Linked DNA regions of Macaca mulatta. The protein of the gene in region 1 purifies or fractionates together with the protein of each later gene. This does not show direct contact. Links are inferred from orthologs where the notes say so. Each region holds a gene or a part of one and is shown in the gene's direction. Other genes may lie near its edges.

The links. The genes of interacting proteins can lie anywhere in the genome.
Region 2: the proteins of MAPK1 (region 1) and ERF purify together in Homo sapiens (co-immunoprecipitation; 3 studies listed by BioGRID and IntAct, with this or other methods). This does not show direct contact. The link is inferred for Macaca mulatta from reciprocal best matches to the Homo sapiens genes MAPK1 and ERF.

What each region holds. Positions count from the first base shown.
Region 1 is NC_133415.1:31,182,093-31,187,587, forward strand, and holds part of MAPK1 (mitogen-activated protein kinase 1), read left to right. Parts: intron 1-1,712; coding exon 1,713-1,895; intron 1,896-3,827; coding exon 3,828-4,017; intron 4,018-4,862; exon of another isoform or gene 4,863-5,495. UniProt on the Homo sapiens protein: Serine/threonine kinase which acts as an essential component of the MAP kinase signal transduction pathway. MAPK1/ERK2 and MAPK3/ERK1 are the 2 MAPKs which play an important role in the MAPK/ERK cascade.
Region 2 is NC_133424.1:53,306,532-53,312,686, reverse strand, and holds the start of ERF (ETS domain-containing transcription factor ERF), read left to right. Parts: upstream 1-1,994; 5' UTR 1,995-2,123; coding exon 2,124-2,145; intron 2,146-2,228; exon of another isoform or gene 2,229-2,585; intron 2,586-2,889; exon of another isoform or gene 2,890-5,044; intron 5,045-6,000; exon of another isoform or gene 6,001-6,155. UniProt on the Homo sapiens protein: Potent transcriptional repressor that binds to the H1 element of the Ets2 promoter. May regulate other genes involved in cellular proliferation.

The sequences.
Region 1 (5,495 bases):
GAGCAAATTATGGCCACATTTGACTGTTAACACTAGAACTTTATAATATTAACACTAGAAAGTTGTAATGTTGAGTTTAAACCAGTATTTTGTAACTAATCTGTCCTGTCGTTGAACTCTTGTTCTATGGGTTGAATTACCAAAATAGAATTTTTATTTCTAAAAATATTCCCAATATTGAATAAGCTTGCTTATTATATATGCTTTTTAATGCTATGTTAAATTATTATTATTATGTATGCTGTTGCCTGTCTAGTTGAAAATTACTGGCTTAGGGCCTCATGCACCAAACCAAAGCAAAATAAGATTTGAGTAGTGGTTCTTTTACTTAAGAAAATATATTATATTTCAGAGCATTTGGGGCCACCTGTGTACTGTGTGTTAATGGTGTTGTAGGATAATTGGATCCTAGTAAGACAAAGTTCCCCTCTAGAGCATTATCTTGTCATAGAATCAGATAAATATATCAATAATTCTTTGGATTAGTAGACTGATAAATATTATTATAGAAGCATAAACTTTATTTAGAGACAGAGTCTCACTCTGTTGCCCAGGCTGGAGTGCAGTGGTACAATCTTGGCTTACTGCCACCTCCATCTCCCAGGTTCAAGTGATTCTTGTGCCTCAGTCTCCCAGGTAGCTGGGATTACAGGTGTGTGCCACCATGCCTGGCTAATTTTTTTGTATTTTTAGTAGAGGCAGAGTTTCACCATGTCATCCAGGCTGGTCTCAAAACTCCTGTCCTCTAGTGATCCGCCCGCCTCAGCTTCCCAAAGTGCTGGGATTGCAGGCGTGAGCCACTGCACCCGGCCTTAGAAGCGTAAACTTTAGAATAAAGTTATTTTACTGTTTTCTGTTCTAGCACTTATCCCAAGGAAACAAGAAATGTTGTCTTATTGCCTGTCAGTGTTATTTTATTGCTTTGGTCAGTGGGCCAGATGTTGACATTTATTAGTATGAAAATTTCTTATACACAAGATTTTAATAGAATGTTTATCATAAAGATAGTAGTAATTCTCAAGATTCAAATTCATAAAATTGAAGGTATAATTTTTATTATTGCTTTTACTTAGAATTCTGGTATATTAGACATTAAGGACAACTTGGAAAGAACTGGGCCCCATGTTGCTGCCGCAGATGTGTTTTTCGAATAATACTTTCTAGGTTTTCTTATAAAACTACCCAAACATCTTGATTCAGTTTCTTGGAAGAAATGGTCATGTCATTTTGCAAGTGAGAGAAACAAAGTTGATACAAATCATCAAGGTGTTCTCTTGGGTCCATTTTTGTTAGGGATAAAGATGTACTGTTGTCGGTTATTTGAATGTCTCTTCTGTGTCAGAGGAATTTGATACAACAGTAGGAAGGTGTTTTGGAGGCAGAAGTGATTATTCTCACCAGAATGCAGTTGCCGTTTAAGACAATGGGAAAATGCTTGTTTGTGTATTTCTGGGTTTATGAAAATACACATTCACCCAGTTAACAGGTCTAGGTTCTGTCTTAGTTTTGAGAGTCGCTGTATGCTATCTCATGTCAGTTGCATCCATCCTCCCTAGCTTGAGGCCTTTTTGTGGATAATATACATGCTACCTTCACAGGTATGAAACAGGTGTTTACACAGAGTGTTAAAAATATAATACTTTGCCAGTTTGCATTCTTCAACTATTCTGAGGGCTGTTTTTAATGCCATCTGTCTTTCTCTCTCTTTTAAGCTCTGCTTATGATAATGTCAACAAAGTTCGAGTAGCTATCAAGAAAATCAGCCCCTTTGAGCACCAGACCTACTGCCAGAGAACCCTGCGGGAGATAAAAATCTTACTGCGCTTCAGACATGAGAACATCATTGGAATCAATGACATTATTCGAGCACCAACCATCGAGCAAATGAAAGATGTGTATCCTTTTTAGGCAACTAGCCAATTCCACTGCTTGGTAACTTTGTTGAGTAAATAGAACTTGAAATTTCCTAAACTTAAAGGAAAAGTGCTTTAAACATGCTAAAGGGAAAATCGTCATCTGTTTGCCATTTACTCCCTAAGTCTAGTCATGGAAAATCTTGGTTAACTCCATTTGCAGTCATGTTTTTTTCTGTCTAAGAGATGGTTTGTTGTGATGATGAAAAGGTAAAGGGAAGATCAGTAGTAGACTAAGAAAGAGGGTGCCCTGGCTATCTACTGGGTGAAATTAGGACTGTCCTGATCTTAGAATCAGGTCACCACTTTAGGTCTCAGTTTCCCCTCCTTTAAAATGAAGGAACTAGTTGTCATGATCTTTAAGGTCAACTGGGCTCTGAAATTATGTGATTAACTATGACCAACATTTAGATATCTGGACTGAATAGGTCTAGAGGATGCTGCCTGGGCAAAGACTCCATTTGAAAGATAGAGAGGTTAAGTATACTGAAGAGGATCTGCCAGAAGGGAGAGGGTTATACAGCACTCCTACCAGTTTACCCAATTTGTATTCCACCCTCCAGGGTGCGGGAGCTCGCTGTCTCTAGGCAGCCCTTTCCATTTTTAAACAGCTCTGTTAATAAGTTGTAGTGATATTTGAAGTGAAATGCCTCCTGCCACTACCACCTGTTGGTCCTACTTTACTTTTGCCATGAAAATAAGCCTCTCTCAAATGACAGATTTTAAAATCATGTTTCCTTTGAATCCCATGCTGCGCCGCCTCTAGCATAAATCTGTAAGAAACAGAGAATATTATTTACACAGAGAGAGTAAAAAAAATGCAGAAATACTGCTAATGAAATAATACTATGATGAAGTTAAAGGCTAAATGCTTTAATAATTTAATTTCTGTTAGAAAGAAAGTAGCCAGCCGGGCGCGGTGGCTCAAGCCTGTAATCCCAGCACTTTGGGAGGCCGAGGCGGGCGGATCACAAGGTCAGGAGATCGAGACCACGGTGAAACCCCGTCTCTACTAAAAATACAAAAAATTAGCCGGGCGCGGTGGCGGGCGCCTGTAGTCCCAGCTACTCAGGAGGCTGAGGCAGGAGAATGGCGTGAACCCAGGAGGCGGAGCTTACAGTGAGCCGAGATCGCGCCACTGCACTCCAGCCTGGGCAACAGCGTGAGACTCCGTCTCAAAAAAAAAAAAAAAAAAAAAAAAAAGAAAGAAAGAAAGTAGCCATAGCTGAAGTTTTAGGTAGTTAAATAAGTGACCAGGCAAGAAAGCAAGAGGAGCAAAACACGCACAAACCCCTTCTTAGCACGACTTGCCCATAGTCTTATTTAGGATCTTAACAGTTATGGGAGAGTAAGAAAATAGATAGACTTAGGGTTGGATTTACTAGTAAGGGTATGTTTCTAGACCTGTATTTCTGGAAGTTTTATGTTTGGCTTTTGAGGAACTTGGGAAAGGAGGGGAGCGGCAACAAGAAGGAAAAAGAATAGTGACATTACAGGTTACTGGACCAAACAGAGGAGGGAATATGTGCTACTTACAGGCCACCAGTATTTCCAACAAACCTTGGAGGGGGTTCGTTGATGGTGGACAATTTAGAGAACAAAGAGGTTGAGACTTGAAGATTGACCAGAATTTCTGTAACAGCCTGTTTCAGATCTCAGTCTAGGCCCATAGCTGCATCAGTCAGATGTAATGCCGTAATTCTTGCCATCTCACAGGACCGAAAAGAAGTTAACGACTTCAGGTTCCTTCCATGAAAGAAACCAAGTTTTCCTCAGGTTTTTCTTTCCTTTAAGGGCCTCATAGTGTAATAATGGACTGTTTGGGAAGAGAGTCAAGAGAGGACGCATTTTTGTTTTCAACGCTTTGCTAAATATGACCAGCTAATTGGTGTTTTACTTAACCATTGCAAACAGATATATAGTACAAGACCTCATGGAAACAGATCTTTACAAGCTCTTGAAGACACAACACCTCAGCAACGACCATATCTGCTATTTTCTTTACCAGATCCTCAGAGGGTTAAAATATATCCATTCAGCTAACGTTCTGCACCGTGACCTCAAGCCTTCCAACCTGCTGCTCAACACCACCTGTGATCTCAAGGTCAGCCAGGTTATTAACTATTAAGCTGATATATATTGAAAAACTCTTTCACTGAAGCGTAGTTATATTTGTCATTATCGTATTTTAAATGACACTAGAAATGCCCAAAAACATTTTTATGGCAAAAATGCTAGTAGAGTGATAGTCCTCTTCTTCCTTATCCCATTGCTCCTTTTTCCCCAGAGATACTTTTTTTTTTCTTTTTTTTTTTTAAGATAGAGTCTTAGTATGTTGCCCAGCCTGGTCTGAACTCCTGGGCTCAAGCAGTCCTCCTTTCTCGGCCTCCCAAAGTGCTGGGATTACATACATGGGCCACAGCACCAGGCCAAGATAACTAACTACTGTAACAAATTGGTGGCCGTTTGCAGTGGCTCACGCCTGTAATCCTAGCACCTTGGGAGGCCGAGGTGGGTGGAGCACCTGAGGTCAGGAGTTCGAGACCAGCCTGGCCAACATAGCGAAACCCCATTTCTACTAAAAATACAAAAATCAGCTGGGCATGGTGGCACGCGCCTGTAATCCCAGCTACATGGGAACTGAGGCAGGAGAACCGCTTGAACCTGGGAGGCGGAGGTTGCAGGGAGCCGAGATCACACCACTGCACACCAGCCTGAGTGACAGAGCAAAACTCCGTCCTCAAAAAACAAACAAAAAACAAATTGGTGTATTTTCTCCCAAAGTATTTTCTATGCTCTTACATACATGTGTACTTTTATACTTTATGTAGGTAAACAGGATCATGTACATTATGTATTAGTTTTAAAATCATCTGTTTCGTTGGTAACATTTTTCTTCAATACATTTTATTCAAAAGATAGCAGCGTGAAACTTAACCTCACTGACTTTAATACCTAATATGGCATTCCAACTAAATAAGAAAACCTCAAATTCTTTACAGTCCTCAGAGTTCTCCTGAAAATGTGCAGCATTTACGTATTTCTATTTTAATGGGAGTCGCAGGTAAACAAGGAGGGAAATTTATGGATATCTTAGATGTGATAGAGCGATGTCGATTCAGTCTAAAAAAATGCACAGGAATTCAAGAAGACCTAAATAAATGGGAAGATATCCCATGTCCGTGGATCATAAGACTTAATACTGTTAAGATGGCAGTATTCTCCAAATTGATCTGCAGATTTAGTGCAATCCCTATCAAAGCCCCAGCTGTTTTTTTTCTATAGAAATTGACAGGCTGATCCTAAACTTCATATGGAAATTCATATGGAGGACTGATACACTTCCTGATTTCAAAACTTGCTGCAAAACACAGTAATCAAGACAGTGTGCTACTGGCATGAGAATAGACATATAGGTCAGTGGAATAGAAGCGAGAGTCAGTAAATAAGCCCGTATATCTCTGGTCAACTGAATTTTGACAAGGATGCCAGGACCCTTCATTGGGGAGACAGTAGTCTTTTCAGCAAATGAGTCTGGGACAACTGAATAGCCACATACAAAAAGATGAAAAAATTAATTCA
Region 2 (6,155 bases), on another chromosome or scaffold:
TACAGCCTCCGCCTCTTGGGTTCAAGTGATTCTCCTTCGTCAGCCTCCTGAGTAGCCGGGATTATAGCCGCGCGATCATGCTTGGGAAATTTCTGTATTTTTAGCAGAGATGGGGTTTCACCATGTTGGCCAGGCTGGTCTGGAACTCCTGACCTGAAGTCAGCCAACTCCCACCTTGGCTCCCAAAGTGCTAGGATTACCGGGCCCTGATGTAATATCTTTGAAAATCTGCCTTTTTTTTTTTTGAAGGGGGTAGTAAAAGAGGTAATAAAGCATAATGGTAAATGGTAAGTGTGGTGATTTAGAATTGGTTAGATCTGGGTTCGAATCTCAGTTCCAATACTTCCTGGCTGTAAGATTTAGTGGACTGATTTTCCCTCAGAGAGCATCACTTTATCTGTAAATGGGGATAACAACAGTAATTCCCCTCGTTGGGATTTTGTGAGGATTAAATGAGAAGATGCCCCTGACAATGCCTGGCCCAGTGCCTGGCACATCATGAACACTCGGAATTTGGGAGCTGTTATTCGAACAATGATGATGATTATTATTGCTGGACCACACCGCTCCCAGAGGGTTACAATATCCGTGGGGGAGCTGTACTGTCCGTAGGCAAGGTTACATAATTCCCCGGGGGTTGTGGGGGAAAGCTTCCCTGGAGCCCTTGGTCTCCCCAAGGAGGAGGCCTGAGATTTTTTTTTTGAGGCACCAGTGAGGAACCTGTCTAAGGCGGACTAGGTACCCCGCAAGCAAGGAGGCTGGGATTGAAGCCCTAGGTACCGGGAGCCTGAGCTCCGCAGGCCTTCCCTGTGTGTGACTTTTATGTGTCTCCCCGCCCATCTTCTGGATTTGTCCCCCACCCAGCCCCCCCAACTCCCGCCCGCCATCCATACGCCCTTCTTTGGAACCTCAGAATCTTTTTTGAGACCCTGTTTCCAGGCTATGCCTGTGAATATTGCTTCTATTTGGCCTCTACCCTGCTGCCGGCTCCTGGGCTCCATCAGATCTGCACTGTGATTTCCTGTTTCCCAGAGCCTCAGGCTTCATCCTTCCCTCCCGGCTGAGGCAGAGAACGGAGACTTAACACTTCCCTACGCTCTGGCTTTCGATCTTAAGCCCTGTCTTCCTCTCTCCTGGCGACCCTCAGTGCCCCTTGGGAGCACATTTGTTCAGACTTTGGTCGCCCCCTCGTATCCTGGCCTCGCCTCCGGAACCCCCGGTCCTAGTAGTGGAGGTGGGGGGACCTCCGGCGCCAGCCCTGTCCCCGGGACAGCTGCAGCCTGGGGACGGTGGTGGCGGGGGCTTCCAAATGCATTCTCTCTGGTCACTTCCTCCCCAGCTGGACTAGGGCTATCAGGAAGGCCAAGACCCCATCCCCACAGGAGCGGAGGGCACAGTCGCCTCCCCATTTCCGATGCTGGGAAATGCATCCCACCCATTCCACCCCACCCCTGGACAGCTGCCCCCATTCAGGCTCAGGGTTGGGGGGGCTGGGTAAAACCAAGCTGGTAATGCCGTCGTCTTGATCATCCTCTAAGGTCCTGACCCCGTCCCTCTGCAGAGAAGATTCTGCCCCCTCCCCACAAAAGTTTCTGACCCCCCGCTTCCTCGGAAGGGCCCCCCGTTTTCCCATACAGGCTCCCAAAAGAAACTCTGGAGCCCGCAGCGGGCAGAAGAGGAGGAGGGGCAGCAGGTAGCGAGTGCGGAGGACTTAAGTTATCTGCAGACTCGGAGCTTCGGACTACGGTCATGACCCGCGGGACCCCATTCCACCCCCGCCCCCTCCTTCCTCCCTCCCCCGCCGCGCGGCCCCTTTAAGCCCGGAGCCGGCCGGTCCTCAGTGGCTGCGCGCCGGCGAGCGTGTGTGTGAGTGCGCGGGGAGGGGGCGGGCGCAGTGTCTCCATGGCGACGCGGCGGTGACGTCGCCGGCCGGGGGGCGTGGGCGTCCCGGCCCCGGAGTGCGATATTAACCCGGGAGGCGGCGGCGGGGAGGGGAGAGGCTCTGAGAGGCGAGGCCGGGTGAGGCGGCAAGGGCGGCCCGACGGGCGCGGGACGGGACGGGGCAGCGCGGGCGCCGGGAGCCGCGGCCCGGAGTCGGGGCGCTTCGCCCCGGGCCCCCCAGCATGAAGACCCCGGCGGACACAGGTGGGGGCGGGGGCAGCACGTGTGGGGGAGACTTGTTGCCCCGGGAAACCGAACGGAGAAACTTTGGGGGGGCTGAAGGGGTCCGGGGGAGCCCAAGTGATCCCCAGTTCTGGGGGACCCCTCAAGCACTCGAGACCTGTTGCTTCTCGTGGCGCGAGCGGGGTTGCTGCCTGGGACCCCCGATTCCTAGCTCCGGGCGGAGTAGTGTGGGTGCTGCGGGTCTTGGTTCTGTATCCGTACCGGGACCCCGCAGGCCGGGCTCTCCCCACTCCCGGGATCACGGGGGTGGCGGGGTCCTTCCCCTCCGCTCTTGTCACGTTGCACTCTGGGGGCCGGGACGTGTGCGGGGCGGGGGGGTTCGTCCACCGGGCCCGCTATCCCTGGTTCTGCGCTGCGCGGTCCGGTTGGTGACCTTCACGGCGGCGCGTGCCCTGCACCAGGTTAGCGGGGGATACGGGATGGCCTCTAGGAGGAGGGCGTGAGTGGGGAGCCCGGGACTCGGGGTCCGGGCTGCGCCGCCCCTCCCCCGCCCGCCTCTGTCGGCTCCTCGCTCCCCCGCCCTCGCCGAGTCGCAAAGTTCCAAAGCGCAGCCCGAACGTTCGAAAAAGGAACTTTTTGTTTCCGACCTTAGAACGCGCGGCTTTAAGGTGGCTCCGGGGAGACCTGGGTACCCTCCTCCCGCGCCACCGGGGGCCCGGGGTTGAGCAGGGTGGGGAAGGTGGGGGGAGACGCAGAGACTCCCCCCTCGCCCCCCCTCCCGGATCCACCTCTTCTCTTTCAGCGGGCCGTCTCTTCCCTCCGCCCTTCTCTTCCCCGCCAACTTGCTCCTCCTTAAGGGGCCAAGGTTCCCCTCCCCCTCGGCCGGCGGGCGGGGGGCAGCGGGATTAACCCCCCTCCCACTCGGACTTTTCCCCCTCCCCTCCCCCGCCGCCCCCGGGCTCGCGCGGGCTGGACTTTGCGCCCAAGCGCGCAGGGGGAGGGGTCCCAGCCGCCCCCTGCCCGTCTACCCCGTCGGAATCCGGCCCGGGGCGGGGACGGGGGAGGGGGAAGGGGGCCGGGCGCCGCTGTTCAAACTTGTTTCCTTCCCCCGGCGGCGGCGGCGGCGGCGGCGGCTCGGGCTCCTGTGTGCGGGTGTGTGCCCCGACCGGCCCACCCACCCCACCCCATCCCCACCCTACCCCATCCCCACCCCACCCCATCCCATCCCCACCCCATTCCCACCCCATTCCCATCCCCATCCCCCTGCTCGGCGGGTGGGGGCGGCTTAATCTTAAAGGGCTCCGAGCTGGGCTCCGGCGCCTGGGGATTGGGACCCGGACCGAGGAGGGGCCCTGGGGGTGGGGCCGGGGTGCGGAGTGCGGTAGGGTCAGTCACGTGCGTCCCACACACTGCCCCGGCTTCCAGTAGCTCCCGGGCCGCTGGGCCCTGGGGGCAGCAGGAGCCTCCCCTCGCCCGAGAAGGCGGCCGAGGCGCCCAGACAACCTCGCCTCATCTTCCTTGCCTGCTACCGGCCTTGGCCTGATAGGACCTGCAGGTCGCTTCCCCAACCCTGTCTGGGGGCCGAACAGTGTGTGGGTTCTCCAGCTGGGGGAGGGGAGGGGCGGGAGGCCTGGAATGGCCTCCGATCGGTGCATCTTTCCCGTCTGCCTCCTAGCCTGCAGCTCCGCACCCCTCCATCCAATCCTCCATCCCGGCCCCTCTCTCCTCTGCCGTGGCTGTTTCCCACTTCCTGTTTTCTTCCCGGCTCTGGCGCCATAGAGGGCCGCCTGGAGTGGGGGAGGTGGTGGGGCCCCCCAGGAGGCCGGCGTGTTCTTCCTCTACCACCACTCCTCCCTTCCGACCCCCTTAAAAAAAGTTTGGGCCGTCACGTGAGGTTGGGGGGTGCCCGGGAGTTTCGTCCCCCCAGGCTTGCATAGTTTGTCGGGGAGAATCCCTACCCTACCTCTGTAGGACCCAGGTGTGCTTCTGGGACCTCGCCATCCCAGCCCTTACTGTCTGTCTGCTGCCACTTCTGCACCCTGTCTCGCAGTTTCCTGAACCCCTCTCTCCATGTGCCAGCTCTCCCTGCCTCACTGGCCCCCATGTTCCCGAGGTTCCGCACCCCCAAGCTTCCTCCATGCAGGTCTGGTGTTTCCCTGTTTTAAGCACGTGGACGCATACACAGCACACTCACACATGCTCCCCTTGCCCGTGCCTGGCTCCTGGCTCCAAGGCCTGGGGAACAGAGCCCCATTGAGACACCCTGACTTCACCCCCTCTTCATTCTCCCCACCACAGCCGGGAACAGGCCCTCATGTATGCTGTGTCCGATGAGGAAAGCCGTCGTTGGGGTGGGCCTGGGAGTGGGGATGGGTCCCTGCCAGAAGTGGGAGCCAGGGTCCAGGCCCTGGAGGAGGGGTTGCTCAGGGAAGGGGTTTAACAAGGGGGCCTGGGACAGCTCCCAGAATGCGGCTTGAGGCCTTTCCAGAGCCCCCCCACCTCCTTTCCGAGTTCCCTTTGTGTTGCGTGTAGTCTCTTTCACTCCCTCTCTTCTGCAAAGTTTATTTTTAGCCTCCTGCTCCCCCGCTCCCAGGACTGTCGCTGCACACACGTTGCCTGGTTACCGGGACACGGAGGCTGGGGCGGGTGGGCTGGGAAGGGTGGCTTTAATTTTGGGGGGAGGGTGGAAGTCAGTACATCCCCCACCCCCAGATTGATGTCTCAGGGGCTTCAGCCCCCCTTCTGGGTCTAGAGCCAAATTGGGGCTGAGGTGGAAGTAGCATGGAGCTTCCTGCCCTGAGAAGGACCGGGAGCTTTTTGGAGGGGATGTGAGGGTCCATGAAGCTGGTGGCTTGGTCACCTGGGTTCCAAAGGATCCTGGGCCTTGCAGGAGACCTTGTGATCTGGACTCTCTAGAAGGGTGAGGATAATGGGGTGAACACCTAGGTTCCCAAGAGAGCGATGGGGCTCTGGGGTCCCTGGAAGGGGTTGTCAAAGGCTGTCACTTTTAAATGGAACTGGGGCTGTTGGTACTGGTGTGTGAACAGCCGGAGGTCATATCCCTGGCACCCTGAGGGGCTGGTGGAAGGCTGGGATATATCCGAATGGGGCAGGGACTTCGGGGATTATGTGGTACTGCAGCCCAGTCTGGGCGGGAGTTGGGGGCCTGGGTCCCTGTGAGGGACAGTGAGCTCTGGATTTGGAGGGGGTGGTCCCTGTGGGAGCAGGAACTACTGATTCCCTGGGTTCCCAAGGGGAAGAATCCCTTGTTGGATTCCAGACTTGGGTGGAGTCTTTGAGGGTGGATGTGTTGCCCGGAGGTCTTGTTGGTACCTGCTTGAGCTGGGGCCAAGGGAGGCGGATTGACCCCTGCAGCCTGACTGGATTTGGGAGCCGCCCATCTCTAGCCAGCCACCTTGGCCTTCTCTCTCTAGTGGCACCAGGGCCCCTGCCCTGCCTCCCCCGTCCTTCCCTTCCTCCCCTTTCCCTCCTCCCACCCCTCCATTACCGGCTGCCTGGTGCTGAATTATTGATGGCCCCTGATTACCCGGGGGTTTGGGAAATGACAACAACCGCAGCCCCCCCACCCCCCACCCCAGGCTGCCCACCCCCTCCAGAGACCAGCCAGCCCACCACCAACCTCTACCCAAGGTTAATGCTGGGGGCGGGCAGGCAGGTGGGCAGGGAAGGAGCTGAGGATGAGAAGGCAGAAGTGGGAAGAGGGTGACAGCTCCAGGGTGCCTGCTCAAGCTCCAGGCCTGGGCTGGGCCCTCCAGCCAGGTGGGGCCTGGATGCCTGGGTCTGGGGAGGGCAGTGTAGCTCAGAGGGTCCAGGGCTTGGGGGCGCCTCTCAGACAGTCTGGGTTTCACTCTCCAGGGAAGACAGAAGCCTCTGTGTGTGCAAGCGCTGACCTCATCGGCAACCAGTCACCCCACCCCTCCTGGTCCTTTTAAGAAAAAAAAAAAAAAATCTTCCTCTCAGGTCCTGGGGTGGGAGTAGGGGCTCTGTTGGGTCTTCGGAGGAGACAGGGC